Macaca mulatta: one gene and its partners. The protein of the gene in region 1 interacts with the protein of each later gene in a pairwise test. Links are inferred from orthologs where the notes say so. Each region holds a gene or a part of one and is shown on either strand. Other genes may lie near its edges. The genes, in order: DMC1, NIF3L1 and KCTD17.

The links.
Region 2: the proteins of DMC1 (region 1) and NIF3L1 interact in binary tests that used the Homo sapiens proteins (3 or more experiments, as listed by UniProt). The two-hybrid records come from large-scale screens. The link is inferred for Macaca mulatta from reciprocal best matches to the Homo sapiens genes DMC1 and NIF3L1.
Region 3: the proteins of DMC1 (region 1) and KCTD17 interact in binary tests that used the Homo sapiens proteins (3 or more experiments, as listed by UniProt). The two-hybrid records come from large-scale screens. The link is inferred for Macaca mulatta from reciprocal best matches to the Homo sapiens genes DMC1 and KCTD17.

What each region holds. Positions count from the first base shown.
Region 1 is NC_133415.1:12,961,513-12,965,826, reverse strand, and holds the start of DMC1 (meiotic recombination protein DMC1/LIM15 homolog), read right to left. Parts: upstream 2,922-4,314; 5' UTR 2,768-2,921; intron 687-2,767; 5' UTR 654-686; coding exon 603-653; intron 21-602; coding exon 1-20. UniProt on the Homo sapiens protein: Participates in meiotic recombination, specifically in homologous strand assimilation, which is required for the resolution of meiotic double-strand breaks.
Region 2 is NC_133417.1:106,005,784-106,010,107, forward strand, and holds the end of NIF3L1 (NIF3-like protein 1), read left to right. Parts: intron 1-1,583; coding exon of another isoform or gene 1,584-1,591; exon of another isoform or gene 1,592-1,640; intron 1,641-3,433; coding exon 3,434-3,618; 3' UTR 3,619-3,757; downstream 3,758-4,324. UniProt on the Homo sapiens protein: May function as a transcriptional corepressor through its interaction with COPS2, negatively regulating the expression of genes involved in neuronal differentiation.
Region 3 is NC_133415.1:14,498,484-14,502,700, forward strand, and holds the start of KCTD17 (BTB/POZ domain-containing protein KCTD17), read right to left. Parts: upstream 2,870-4,217; 5' UTR 2,866-2,869; coding exon 2,656-2,865; intron 1,507-2,655; coding exon 1,398-1,506; intron 1-1,397. UniProt on the Homo sapiens protein: Substrate-adapter for CUL3-RING ubiquitin ligase complexes which mediates the ubiquitination and subsequent proteasomal degradation of TCHP, a protein involved in ciliogenesis down-regulation.

The DNA of each region.
Region 1 (4,314 bases):
ATATCTTGAAACAAAGATTCCTAAAGGAGATGAAACAGAAAAAAATGAAGCTTTGATTCTTCATATCCAGCTATTTCACATCTTTTAAAGAGGTAATTCAATACTATGAGTCACTCCAAAATGCCTCAAATTCCACTTCTCTAGAGATTGAGGAAAGATCAATACTGTTTTTCAAACACATACTTAGAAGCACCAACATTGAAAGGGCTGGGAAACCAGTTACCTTTGTCATGTCCTCCCTAAAATTTTGAAACCTTTACCCAAAGGACTGGAACAACATTTGACCTATTTTAAATATGTTTTCTCAACCCTCTTCCCCTCCAGATCCTAAACTCCTTCCTCTAGGACCAGGCTGCTATTCGGTACCAGTGTATACAGGTATCAGTATGGCCATACCAGCTGTTAAGTTATTAAAATACTTTCATACCAGTTGCTAAGTAGCTAATCTTAGCATCCTTGCCAAACAAGTTGTTGCATATTTGCAATATATAACTATGTGTTATTTCTACTTTCAGTTTCTAAAAATAGTAGCTAACAGAGAAGGAACTTGATTTTTGTGGAATGACCGAATATCTATGTATCTTTCAACATTCTAGTCATACCTCTTCATCTTGGAATCCTGGTTCTTCCGCCACAACTTGATCCTCCTTCATGTTGAAAGGTGAGCAAAAGAAAAATAATCACTTCTGGGAAAAAAAGAAATATTATGTAAGAAGTAGTCCTTTGTCCAGGGGCCTCTGATTTCATTTCAAAGTCACCAAGGACTAGAAGGACAATAAGAGAAGCATTTAACTTGGAAAGACTAGGCCAGTCTATCTTCTTTCTGTGAGGCATGTGGCATTATTTCTTGTGTGTGTGTTTGTGTGTGCATGTGTGTGTGTGCGTGTCCCCACATGCACACAGGTGCCTGAGGGGCAAATTGGGGGGTGATTAGTTTCTTCTCTTTCCCCAATAGTGATCACTTATCATCTGGTTTCCATTGCACAGCTAATCATGACTTTATTACTGCCTTGAAATGTTATTTAAGGCCGGGCGCGGTGGCTCAAGCCTGTAATCCCAGCACTTTGGGAGGCCGAGACGGGCGGATCACAAGGTCAGGAGATCGAGACCATCCTGGCTAACATGGTGAAACCCCGTCTCTACTAAAAATACAAAAAAACTAGCCGGGCGAGGTGGCGGGCGCCTGTAGTCCCAGCTACTCGGGAGGCTGAGGCAGGAGAATGGCGTAAACCCGGGAGGCGGAGCTTGCAGTGAGCTGAGATCCGGCCACTGCACTCCAGCCTGGGCGACAGAGCGAGACTCCGTCTCAAAAAAAAAAAAAAAAGAAATGTTATTTAAAATTGCTTATTGCTTTTAATCTTTCTTGTTTATGTTTAACAACAAAACTCTAAGAACCTTGACAATATATCATTCTTCCTTGTGTCCTCCCTGGCACCTCCAACTTTGTCCTCAATAAATGGATTTTATTTTTCTCATCTATGATGAATGCCTTCCTGTCTGCTGATTATGAATGGGTACTCCTGTAACACCTACCTTTTTGTTTCATAGAACATTAGCTATACTTTCTTTCACAGTATTTACTAGTTTCATGATTTTTTTTAAGATTTAAAAATATGGTGGGCCGGGCGCGGCGGCTCACTGCCTGTAATCCCAGCACTTTGGAAGGCCAAGAAGGGCAGATCACAAGGTCAGGAGTTCGAGACCAGCCTGGCCAAACCCCGTCTCTACTAAAAATACAAAAAAAATTAGCCGGGCATGGTGGTGGGCGCCTGTAATCCCACCTACTTGGGAGGCTGAGGCAGGAGAATCGCTTGAACCTGGGAGGCGGAGGTTGCGGTGAGCCGAGATTGCGCCACTGCACTCCAGCCTGGGCGACAGTAAGAGGCTCAGTCTCAAAAAAAAAAAAAAAAAAAAAAAAAAAAAAAAAAAATTGGTGGATCATAATATTATAGTAAGGCTGATAAGCAGTTAAAGTTTTTAACATTGTAGACCCAAAGAGAAATCTCAGGAATCCACAAGGCGTGATTGTGTTTATTACAATAAAATGCGGTACAAATAATCATTTTTCTTGGTCGATTCCATTTCCTCATTTGATACCAAAGTCAGGGGTTGGACCTTAGAACAAAGGGAACGAACTATTAATACGAAGGCAGGAGCAGGGTCCTACCACCCAGCACCTCAAACCGCAAAGGATGGAAGGCAACCGAGACCGTTCGGATGGGATCTTCGGGGACACTGTCCTTCAGATGGCTAGCTATGAGTACCCCAATTCCACATTTACTGCCCCCATCGAAGAAAAAAACATCCATTTCTTCTCCCCGTGATGAAATGAAAAGATTGTCCCCCATCTCTCAAAGAGCCGTCGATGGACTGAACGGTTGGCTTGAAGGCAGGGCTCCCCAATCCCCCGGTTTAAGACCACCCAGCTGTCCCCTCTGGTGGGGGCAGCAGCGCGGTCGGGTCGCCCTCGACGCCTCCCTCAACAGGAGGCCTGGGCAGACCCCGTGCGGCCGCCGGACATTTTCCTGACAGGGGATTCCCTGGTCAGGAGGATGAGGCGGGCTCTCCTAGACTTAGGTCCGATTAGATTGAAAATAAGGAGGTTGGAAATCCCTCAAGGTCACTAAAATTCCTCCCCAGGGGTCGGAGCGGAACGCTCAGAGTCGCTAGCCCGGGAACCCCAAAAAAAAGAGCGAGAAAGGGAAGCGCGCCTTCTCAAAACGAGCGTCCGCTCAGTCTTCGCACGCTGTCCGTTTATGCCACTTACCCCCCTCGTACCCACAGTCTCCCCGAGATTTTCAAGGTGAAGCCCCTCTGCCCCCGCCCGACCTTTCCAGTCCTCAGCTGACAGGATTCTAACTCGGGCCCAGAACGCGGAGCCTGGAAACCCGCGCGCCGTTGACCACAGGATTTGGCGCCAAATGAGGAAGGCGGGGCGAGGACCAAGGGGCCGGGGCGGGGCGCAGCCTGAGGAGGCGAGGTGAGGGTGGAAGGGCGGGGAGCGGGCGGGCCCACAGGGGGCGACGCGGGGAGGGGAGCTATGGGGGCGGGGCGAAGAAGGAGGGGCGGGGGAAGAGCGGGCTCACAGTTGGGGGAACCAGAGGGCGTGGCCTGCAGGGGGCGTAGCGAGGGGAGAGTCGGGGCAGGGCGCAGGGCGAGGGGGCGGGGCGAGGACTGAGGGGCGGGAAACCAAGAGGAGCCTCCGGCGCGTGGCGCGCTGAGGTGAGGGAGTGAGGGAGGGGCGCTGTGGAGGGAGCGCCCTGAGGAGCGGGGCCTTGAAGGGAGGAGACCGTTGAGCTGGGGCGTCCCTCGAACTGAGCACCTCGCTAAAGTCCGGGAGAGGACCCTGAGGCAAGGGTTCTGAGGAGGACGCCTTGAATCGGGGGAGGGGCGCTGAGCAGAGGTGGCTGACGTTGGCAATAGGTCTTGGTCGCGAGGGTCGCAGATGGAGCCTTGGGTTAGAAGGTCGAATCCGGGCCCCTTTCCCCCCGCCGCCGCTGCCCGTGACTTCTCTTTCGCCTCCGGGTTTTCATGCCTGGCTTCAGAGTTTGGCCGTGCTCCCTCAGCGTTCCTAATTTCCCACTTTCTGACTCTCACCATTTGCCACTCTTGTCTGTGATTGAGATACCCAAGGCCCATTCAGGATGGAGAGTAATTTTTTTCTCTGTCTTAACTTGAAGTTTTAAATAGACCACAGACGCCAAGTATATTTTGGTTCGGCTTTTAAATAGAAGTCGCAGGCCAGCCTTCGTGCCAGCAGCGCCATCGCTGGCAGCGTCCTCCTCCTCCCCTCACGCGGAGACTGACTTGAGGAGAGTCAGGAAACATTTGAGAGAGCAGCTGCCGAGGTGGAGGCTGTGATGTATCTTGGATGAATCTCTGTGCAAACAGTTCTTTGGGTTCAAGACCTAGTACAGGGCGATCCTTTTTTGTTTTTTCTGTCTGAATCATTTTGCTGGAATAAATAGCAAAACATTCCCACAATAGCAGTTGGCATTTTTGTGTAGGACGCTCCCCCGCCCCCAACAGGTGGATCGTTTCAAGATCCAACAAATAACTGCCATTGTGCTTCCAAATCTGTTATTTTCGCCCAAACATAGCCGTCCCTGTTATATGGAAATGAATGCCCATTTGGGGAAGGAACTGGATAGTGATGAAAGGCTTTCACTCTGAGGCCTCACCTAAATAATTATGGGAACTTTTGAGCAACTCGTTAGGTGAAGACATCAACAGTCTACAGAAGAGCTGCAAAGAGCACAGCAAGATGATTTAGGGAAATATAACATATGTAGTTTGGTGTAGTGACAGCTGGGA
Region 2 (4,324 bases), on another chromosome or scaffold:
CTTGTGATAAGTGAGCACCCCCTCTGAGAAGCCTTCTCTGACACTGTCCTGCTTCTGCCTCTTGTGGGTCCCTGTCACTTTGTCCTTGATCTCCAGTGTGCACTTCTGTTGGACAGTAATTGGCTCCTGGGCCTTACACTCTCTCCTTAAGGATACTACCTAATAGGTCCTGGCTAATTTTTATTGAAAGAATTACTTCACGTAGTTACTACTCAGGAATGTGACCAAACATGGCCCATTATACCTGCAAAGGATTTGAAGACATTTTAATGGGTTGCCAGTTTGTTTACCTCCTCCTTCTTAGGGTTAGGAGAGAATGAGTTAAAGAATTACTTTTCCCACTTCGAGGACCAGGCTCTAGACTCTTAGCCCTCTGGCCATTCCTTTGGCTACTTCCATGCTTCCCTTGCCTCCCACACCCATGCCTTGTTGTGTAGCACACTCTCTTACAAAGGCTGCTGCACTGAAAGCATTGTCACATCCCGAAGTACCAAGGAGCAGCATCTGAGAAAGCCTGATGGAACTGCTCTAAACCAATAAATTGATTAAAAAAAAAAAACATGTATGTGACTATTACCTGTTTTCCATTCTTCTGAAGATAAAAGATTTTTGTAAGTCCTTAAATTTCTACCAGATTAAAGTGAAATTTCAATATGAATATCTTACAGCATTGTGTCTGGCTATTTTAAAATTCATTTTAGCATTTTACTTAGAAGGAATTTCAGACCTATGCAAAAGTTGCAAGAATAGTACAATGAATTCCTATGTGCTCTTCACCTTGGTTACTAATGGTTATATTCTGCCATATTTGTACATTCTTTATGTACATATTATATATGTGTCTGTATACATTTGTGTGTGCATATATAGATATATAATATATAATATACAAGTTAAAATTTTTATATATATATATATATATATATAGATGTATTTCCCCCAGGACCATTTTAGAAATCGATTGCAGACATGACAATTTCTTTACCTCTCAATATTTCAGTGTATAGTCTTCTAAGAACAAAGACATTCTAAGTCTATAGAACAATTATCAAATGAGGGAATTTAATATTGTTAAAACATTTACTTGATATACAGTCCATATTCACATTTTTCCAGTTGATAAAAGTTTATAGTATTTCTTTTTCTGATCCATATCCAGCCCATGATCTCACATTGCATTTAGTTGTTGTTAGTCTCCTTCAGTCTGGAATAGTTCCTCAGCTTTGTCTTCATAACACTGACATTTTTAAAAGAGTATAGGCTCTTTGTTTTGTGCTTCTCGCTCAATTTGGGGTATCTATTTCCTCATAAATACTTTTTTAAAAACTAGTTTTTAAAAAAAGTGATAAAATATAATGATATGTTCATAAAATAAATTCAGGCAGTTCCAAAATGTTAAAATGTCCTTCCTATCTCGCTGTGGGGAGAAAAAGAAAATATTACCTGGCTAGCATTAGATGTCTCTGGTCTGTGAGGCATTGCTTTTGAGTGTAACTTCAGAGATGCAAAGCCCCTCCTAAAGGACCTCTGCTGAACTTCATCACGCTCCCTGTGAGTCTGAGGCCGTGTTCTCGTTGTATTAGGTTGTTAAGGGTAACACCCTGTAAGACCAGCAGATGGGGAGCCTGCTCCTTGCAAATGTAAGTTCTCTCATTTGTCATTTCATTCTCCATTTGCTTTTCCTTTCCCAAGCTGCCATCCTGGGCCAAGCTTTTCTTTCCGTTGGCTTCAGCAATTATTGCAGGGTCTTCACAGATTTCCCCCCTTTCATGCCTTCTCCGGCCAATGAGTTTGTCACAGTACAGGCAGCCAGACTTATCTTTCCTAAAACAAGGCTTCCAACTGGGTCATCTTAGTGTCTTTTTCTTGCTTTTTACTTTTACTATTATAGATTAAGATGTTTTAAAAAGTGCTCGAATAAAAATTATTCCTTATAATGAGATGACACTTACTAGAAGAGTGTGGGGAACTGAAAAATTCTGGAATTAAGAAAACTTATTTTTTACTTACAGATGTTTTCTTGTGGGAAAATTAGAGAAAAAACTCAATTTTTTTTCTAAGAACCTTTTTTTTCTTAAATTTGTATGCCCTTCTGTCTCTAAATACAGTTCAAAATTGTACTTTCTAAAGAACAAACCAAATTGTACACAGTGCAGTTTTGCTCTTAAATTACAAGTCATCAAATTCACAAACTGCATTTTTAAAAATTCAGAATATTAGGCTGGACACGGTGGCTCACACCTGTAATCCCAGCACTTTGGGAGGCCGAGGCGGGCAGATCACTTGAGCCCAGGAGTTCGAGACCAGCCTGGCCAACATGGCAAAACCCCGTCTCTACTAAAAATACAAAAATTAGCCAGGCTTGATGGTGGGTGCCTGTAATTCCAGCTACTCGAGAGGCTGAGGCAGGAGAATCACTTGAACCCAGGAGGCAGAGGTTGCAGTGAGCTGAGATTATGCTATTGCACTCCAGCCTGGGCAATAGGACAAAACTCCATCTAAAAAAATAAATACAAATATAAATAAATTAAAAATTCAGAATATTTGAGTTTTCCCCAAATCTTTTCACAACAGATGAGATTCCCTCCAGAGTTTCTAGGGATTTTGCTTAAGTCAAAGAAAAATACTTTGTTTTAATCTGGAAATAATCTTAAATTCATTTCATCCTTGTATATTAGACTAAGTTGACGACAGAAATACTAGTGCTTACAAAGCCTAAGTCTGCTGGGCAGTATACACAGAATGTCCTCCAGAGGTATTTATTACATAAGAGGCAGATTTTCTGAAGGCCTCATTTTACTTAGCAGTGGTCATTCTCTCTACGGTGGAAACACAGTAAAATGGGTGTTTACAGATCTGGTTCTGGCCAGATATGTTGGATTGGACGATTGCCTTGGGGTCTGCCAAGGAAAAAGAAGTTGGAATTCTCAATGGGATGGCTTTTATTTTTATTTTATTATATTTTCAAGACAGAGTCTTGCTCTGTCACCCAGGTTGAAGTGCAGTGGTGCAATCTCGGCTCACTGCAACCTCCAGCCCCCATACTGAAGCAATTCACCCGCCTCAGCCTCCTGAGTAGCTGGGATTACAGGCGCACGCCAGCACACCCAGCTAATTTTTGTGTTTTTAGTACAGATGGAGTTTCACCATGTTGGCTAGGCTGGTCTGGAACTCCTTAGCTCAGGTGACCCCCCTGCCTAGGCTTCCCAAAGTGCTGGGATTACAGGCGTGAACCACCGTGCCCAGACCTTTCTCTGTTTTTAAGTTGGAGGACATAAAAGAAAACTGTACAGTACTTTCTAGATTTATAACAGTTCTGCTGTATTACATTCACTTTATATAGAATATAAACTTGGTATTTCTGCTTTTGTGTTTCCTCATTCCACAGATTCCATATCTAGCATTTAAGAATTTGCTGTTTCCTTTTTGGTAGGTGAGATGTCCCATCATGATATTTTGGATGCTGCTTCCCAAGGAATAAATGTCATCCTCTGTGAACATAGCAACACTGAACGAGGCTTTCTTTCTGACCTTCGAGATATGCTGGGTTCTCACTTGGAGAATAAGATAAATATTATCCTATCAGAGACTGACAGGGACCCTCTTCAGGTGGTATAATTGCAGAAACATCAGGATAACACATTGTACAAATTAGTTGGATGCCAACTTGAATTTGTAACATGAGTCAGTGGGACTAGTGTGCTTCTAGAAGAGTGTCTTAGAGGGTATGATCATTTCCGGTTTGTTAATCTGATTCACCAAACATTCTTTTTTTTCCTTTTTTTTTTTTGAGATGGAGTCTCGCTCTGTCACCAGGCTGGAGTGCAGTGGCGCGATCTTGGTTCATTGCAACCTCTGCCTCCCAGGTTCAAGCAGTTCTTCTGCCTCAGCCTCCTGAGCAGCTGGGACTACAGGTGTGTGCCACCGCACCCAGCTAATTTTTGTATTTTTAGTAGAGACGGGGTTTCACCATGTTGGCCAGGATGGTCTGGATCTCTTGACCTCGTGATCCACCCGCCTCGGCCACCCGAAGTGCTGGGATTACAGGCGTGAGCCACCACGCCCTGCAGATTCACTAAATGTTCTATCGCTCATACAGTAAAACTGTAATGTAACTACCACATTAAATAACAAGTATTCATATAAAATCTAGGAAAGATTGAATAAAATCTGTTTACTTAACATTCTTTGGAAGCAGCTCAAGTGATTCTCTCCTTAGTTTAATTGTAGATGGGATGGGATGGATCCATTTGGGTATCTTTGCCCTTGCTTAGTTTAACATTATGCTTGAAAAACTTGGGCTTGAATACTTCTTTCTAGGTAG
Region 3 (4,217 bases), about 1.5 Mb from region 1:
GCCCGCGTGATCCCCTAGCCCCCGGACAGGCCCGCGTGATCCCCTAGCCCCCGGACAGGCCCGCGTGATCCCCTAGCCCCCGGACAGGCCCGCGTGATCCCCTAGCCCCCGGACAGGCCCGCGTGATCCCCTAGCCCCCGGACAGGCCTGCGTGATCCCCTAGCCCCCGGATAGCCCTGTCTGATCCTCTAGTCCCGGACAGGCCTGTCTGCAGGTGTGGGAATAGCAGGGCTTTGAGAACGCAGGGCGTGTAAACAGGTGCTGGCTGTGACGCAGCTTGGGTGTTTACTTCCTTCCCGGCGGGGCCTGCTCCTGAGCCTAGGCCACTCCCATGGTATCTGTGCTCCCACAGGGATTAACAGGGAAGCTGTGGGGTTCTGCAGGGCCAGGTACCCACAGTGGACTCTGGTGTTGCGGCCCTGACCTGCTAGAGAGTTGCTGGGCCTCCAGACCACTGTGTCCCATAGGGCTCAGGGAGGGCAGACCATGGCCCAGAGCAGGAAGGCATGCACAGATGCAGGTGCTGTCTGTGCACAGGATTCATGACATCTCCCTCCAGGAGGCAGATCACCGCCCCCATTTAACAGATACCAGTGGAGACGCAGCGAGGAGAAGTGACATGTTCAAGCTGGTCTGGCTGGATCAGCTGACCCAGAGCCACACCCTGTGTCCCAAAGAAGAGTTAACTTGGCATTGACTCTAGTCCTTGCCCCTGGCTGGGGCTCTGCTAACAGGTCGTTCTTCCAGACACGGCTTCCCCACTGTTTGTTAGGCCCAGATATGGGCATATCCAGGGCCCCTGCCACCTAGGCCTGGGGATAACCAAAGCCCCACTGGGAAGCAGACTCCCCCCTCCCCTGCCTCCACCCACAACCAGCACTGTGCCGCACAGGCTGCCAGACTTAGTGAACAGTCACCCGCTCCACCCACTTACAAGCCCTCACCAGGCAGAATTGGAGATACTGGATCAGCCAGAGAAAGAGAGAGAGAGCGCTCTCCCCATGCCTGTCAACACCAAATTCCTGTCACCCCAGCCTCCGGATGTGACGGTCCACATCTGGCTTCCTAGGAGGCCAGAGAGAAAGGGCATCACAGCCCACCGCAGAGGCCACAGGGCATTGCTGACTTCCTCTATCCCCTGCGCGTGTGTCTTTGTCACCTCCCTGACAGCACCCTGGGAAAGCTTGAGCCCGTCCGCTTGGCAGAGCCCCAGGCTGGGCACAGGCAGATGCTTGGGAATCAGACTCGTCCGGATGGGAAGAGGCAGGAAACAACGAAGCAGGCAGACGGCCATCCTGGTTGTCCAAATGGCTTGGGGCCTCCACAGAGGGCCCTGGCAGGCTGCAGAGGGCCGGGCTAGGATGTGGGCCCCAGGCCAGTCCCCTGAACCAACTCACCCTCCTCAGCCATGTCCTTGTCCAGCACCAGCTTGCCATGCCGGAGGAAGTTCAGGATGGGCCCGAAGTAGGTGGGGTCACGGTCAATGAGGTAGGCCCCGGTCTCATCCTATGGAGGTGAGGGATGCTCCGTGAGCGAAGAGTGAGGCCTCTCCCAGGCCAACCCCACACATGCACAGGGAGGGAAGCGAGTCCAGGGAGAGCTCTTCCCTGGATGGAGCAGGCACAAAGGAGCAAAAAGGCACTGGGGTCAGGTGGACCTGAGTTCAAACCCTGCTTCTGACTTTTCCTGAATGTGTGACCTTAGGCTAATGATTTGGCCTCTTTGAGCCTCACTCCTCTCCTCATCATCAGGGGTCGCTGTGAGCATCTGGTGACAGGAGGTCTGAGTGGCAACTGGGCCAGCACAGGGCTCAGAGAATGTCCCTCTTAGAAGCTGTCCCCTGATGCCAGCCCCACTGTCGCCCCCAGGTCCCCAGGCTTTCAGGGAATGTTTACAAGTTTCCAAAGAAGCCACTATCTCACTGGACATTCAGGCAGGCAGGGAGGCAGAGTGGGCTTCCATGCGACTCTACAGAGAGATGGGAGACATTGAGAGGCGAGGCGACTTGCCAAAGGCCACAGCATCGGAAGGTCACGGATGGGGGACAGGAGACCTTAGAGGTCATCTTCAGACCAGCCCTTCGTGTTACAGATGAGGAAGGAGGCTGAGCGCAGTGCAGGGAAGGGTCCGACCCAAGGTCGCAGCAGGCAGCGTGCAGCAGAGTCAGGGTGGGTGCTCAGAAACAGTGCCCGCTGGGCCAGCGCTCCTTCTAGATTCAGCCCGCTCAAAAGGCGCCCCAGGGCTCCTCCATCCAGCTAGCTCCCTGCACCCCTCCGCCACCCACATCCCAAAGGGCAGGAGAAGTAGCCTCGTCGACTCCTTCCCCAGAGCAGGAGTCCCCTTTGGGAGGGAGGAAAGGCCCCAGGTATCTCCCTGTCCACTGCCCCAAAGGAGAAGGTGAGACCCCGATCCAGGGCGGCTGGAGAGCTTCTAATGGCCGCGACCTGCGGTGTCCCGTTGCCACGGCAATGGGCACATCCCTCACTACCAGACCCACCTCCCCCTTCCCTCCTCCTGCCGCTTCTTCCCGCCTCCAGTTCCTCGGAAATGAACGCAGCCGGGTCCCCAGCCTGGCGGGCGAGCCAGGCCCGACAGCCCTGCGTCGGGCCAGCAGAGGACCCACCGCCCGCTCGCCGCCCACCCCGGGGGCCTCACCCGGTCCGACTGCAGCTCTTCCCCCTGGCACAGGCGGCTGAGGAAGGACTTCTGCTCGCGGCACAACGTCTGCCGGGTGGTCAGGAACACCGTGCCCCCGACGTTGAGCCGCACCCACTTGCCCCAGCCGCCTGCGGCGCGGCCGCCCGCCCCCGCCGGCGGCGCTCCCTCCCCGGCCTCCATCCTCATCGCCGGCCGCGGCGTCTGCATCCTCCTCCCGGGCGCGGGGGGCGGGAGGGAATCACGCGCGGGGCAGGCCGGGAGCTGTAGTCCGCGCCTCCTGGCTCCGCGTGGGCCGCGGGGAGGGTCCCGCCCCGCGCTGCTCCCGCCCCGCGCTGCTCCCGCCCCGCGCTGCTCCCTCCTCGCGCAGCTCCCGCCCCCGGTCCCGCCCCGCTTCGCCCTTCCCTGCAGGCCCGCAGTCTGGGCTAGTGAAGCTAAATCACTGTGTATGGGGAAGGTCGAACTCCCGAACTCTGGGAAAAGAATGAGTGCTTCCCCAAATCGCAGTCTTCCCATTGGTCCGAGCGTTTTTGTTTTTCCTTTGTGCCATCTGCGTCATCCAACTGCTGATAAGGGAAGAAACTTCCCCGACGAGGAATCCCCATAGCATTGACCCGCATGTGTTTCGTCATATTTTTTCATTTGCCCGTTGTGTGTATCGGGGTGGGGGCGGGGTGGGTGGGAGTGGGTTCTTTCCTTCATCTAAGTTCTTGGAGAACGACATAGCTGGACCTGAGGTTGGCTGAGCACCTGTATGCCAGACACTTTGCGTAAGTGTGTTATTCATTTAAGCTCTCAGCAGCCCTGTGAGTCTGGTATTTTGGGATATACCCATTTTACAGATGAAGCCACAGAAGCTAAGTGACCGCTCTACTCACATAGCTGGTGAGTGAGTACCCGCCAAGGCCTCTTTCCTGCTCCCCGACCATGGAATGTCAGGGATCCTTGGGAAGGACTTCTAAGGAGGAAGAGTAGAGCAGGCCCTGGATCCCAGTCAGGAGAACTGAGTTTCCATTCTGGCTTTTGGCTGTTCTCAGTTTTTCCAAGTCCTCCCCAAGCAGGAGGAGGGATTAGTTCTGCGGGTGGCTTTCTGAGTTATTTCCCAGTTAACTTGGAGGGGGACTGTCATTCTGTGGACCTCAGGATGGGGAAAGGGACCCCACCATGTGGTCTGGGACCAGGGAGGGACAGAGGCTGACAAGGAAGCTGTTTCCTTAGCTTCCTCTCCTTACTGGTTTCAGTCCTGGTCCTGGCCTATGTGGGAGAGGCTCCCCTCACTGATCCAATGTCACACACAGCTAGCCTGAACACTGGGCATCCTGGCCCTGTATTGGGAGAAGTTTCCCTGTTACCACTCAATGCCCTGGTTTCTGCATAAAGCTTTTCTCCTTGGCAGGGAGTGGATCAAAGGTGTACTGGAATCCTGCTACTTAAAATTCACCAGGTGTGTCCTGAGCAACTTCCTCTCTGAGCCTTGGCTTTCTGCCTTGCCAAATGGAACTTACAATAGTTGTGACCCCAGAGCATTGTTGTGAAGATTAAGTTATGAAATGTCTGTAAAT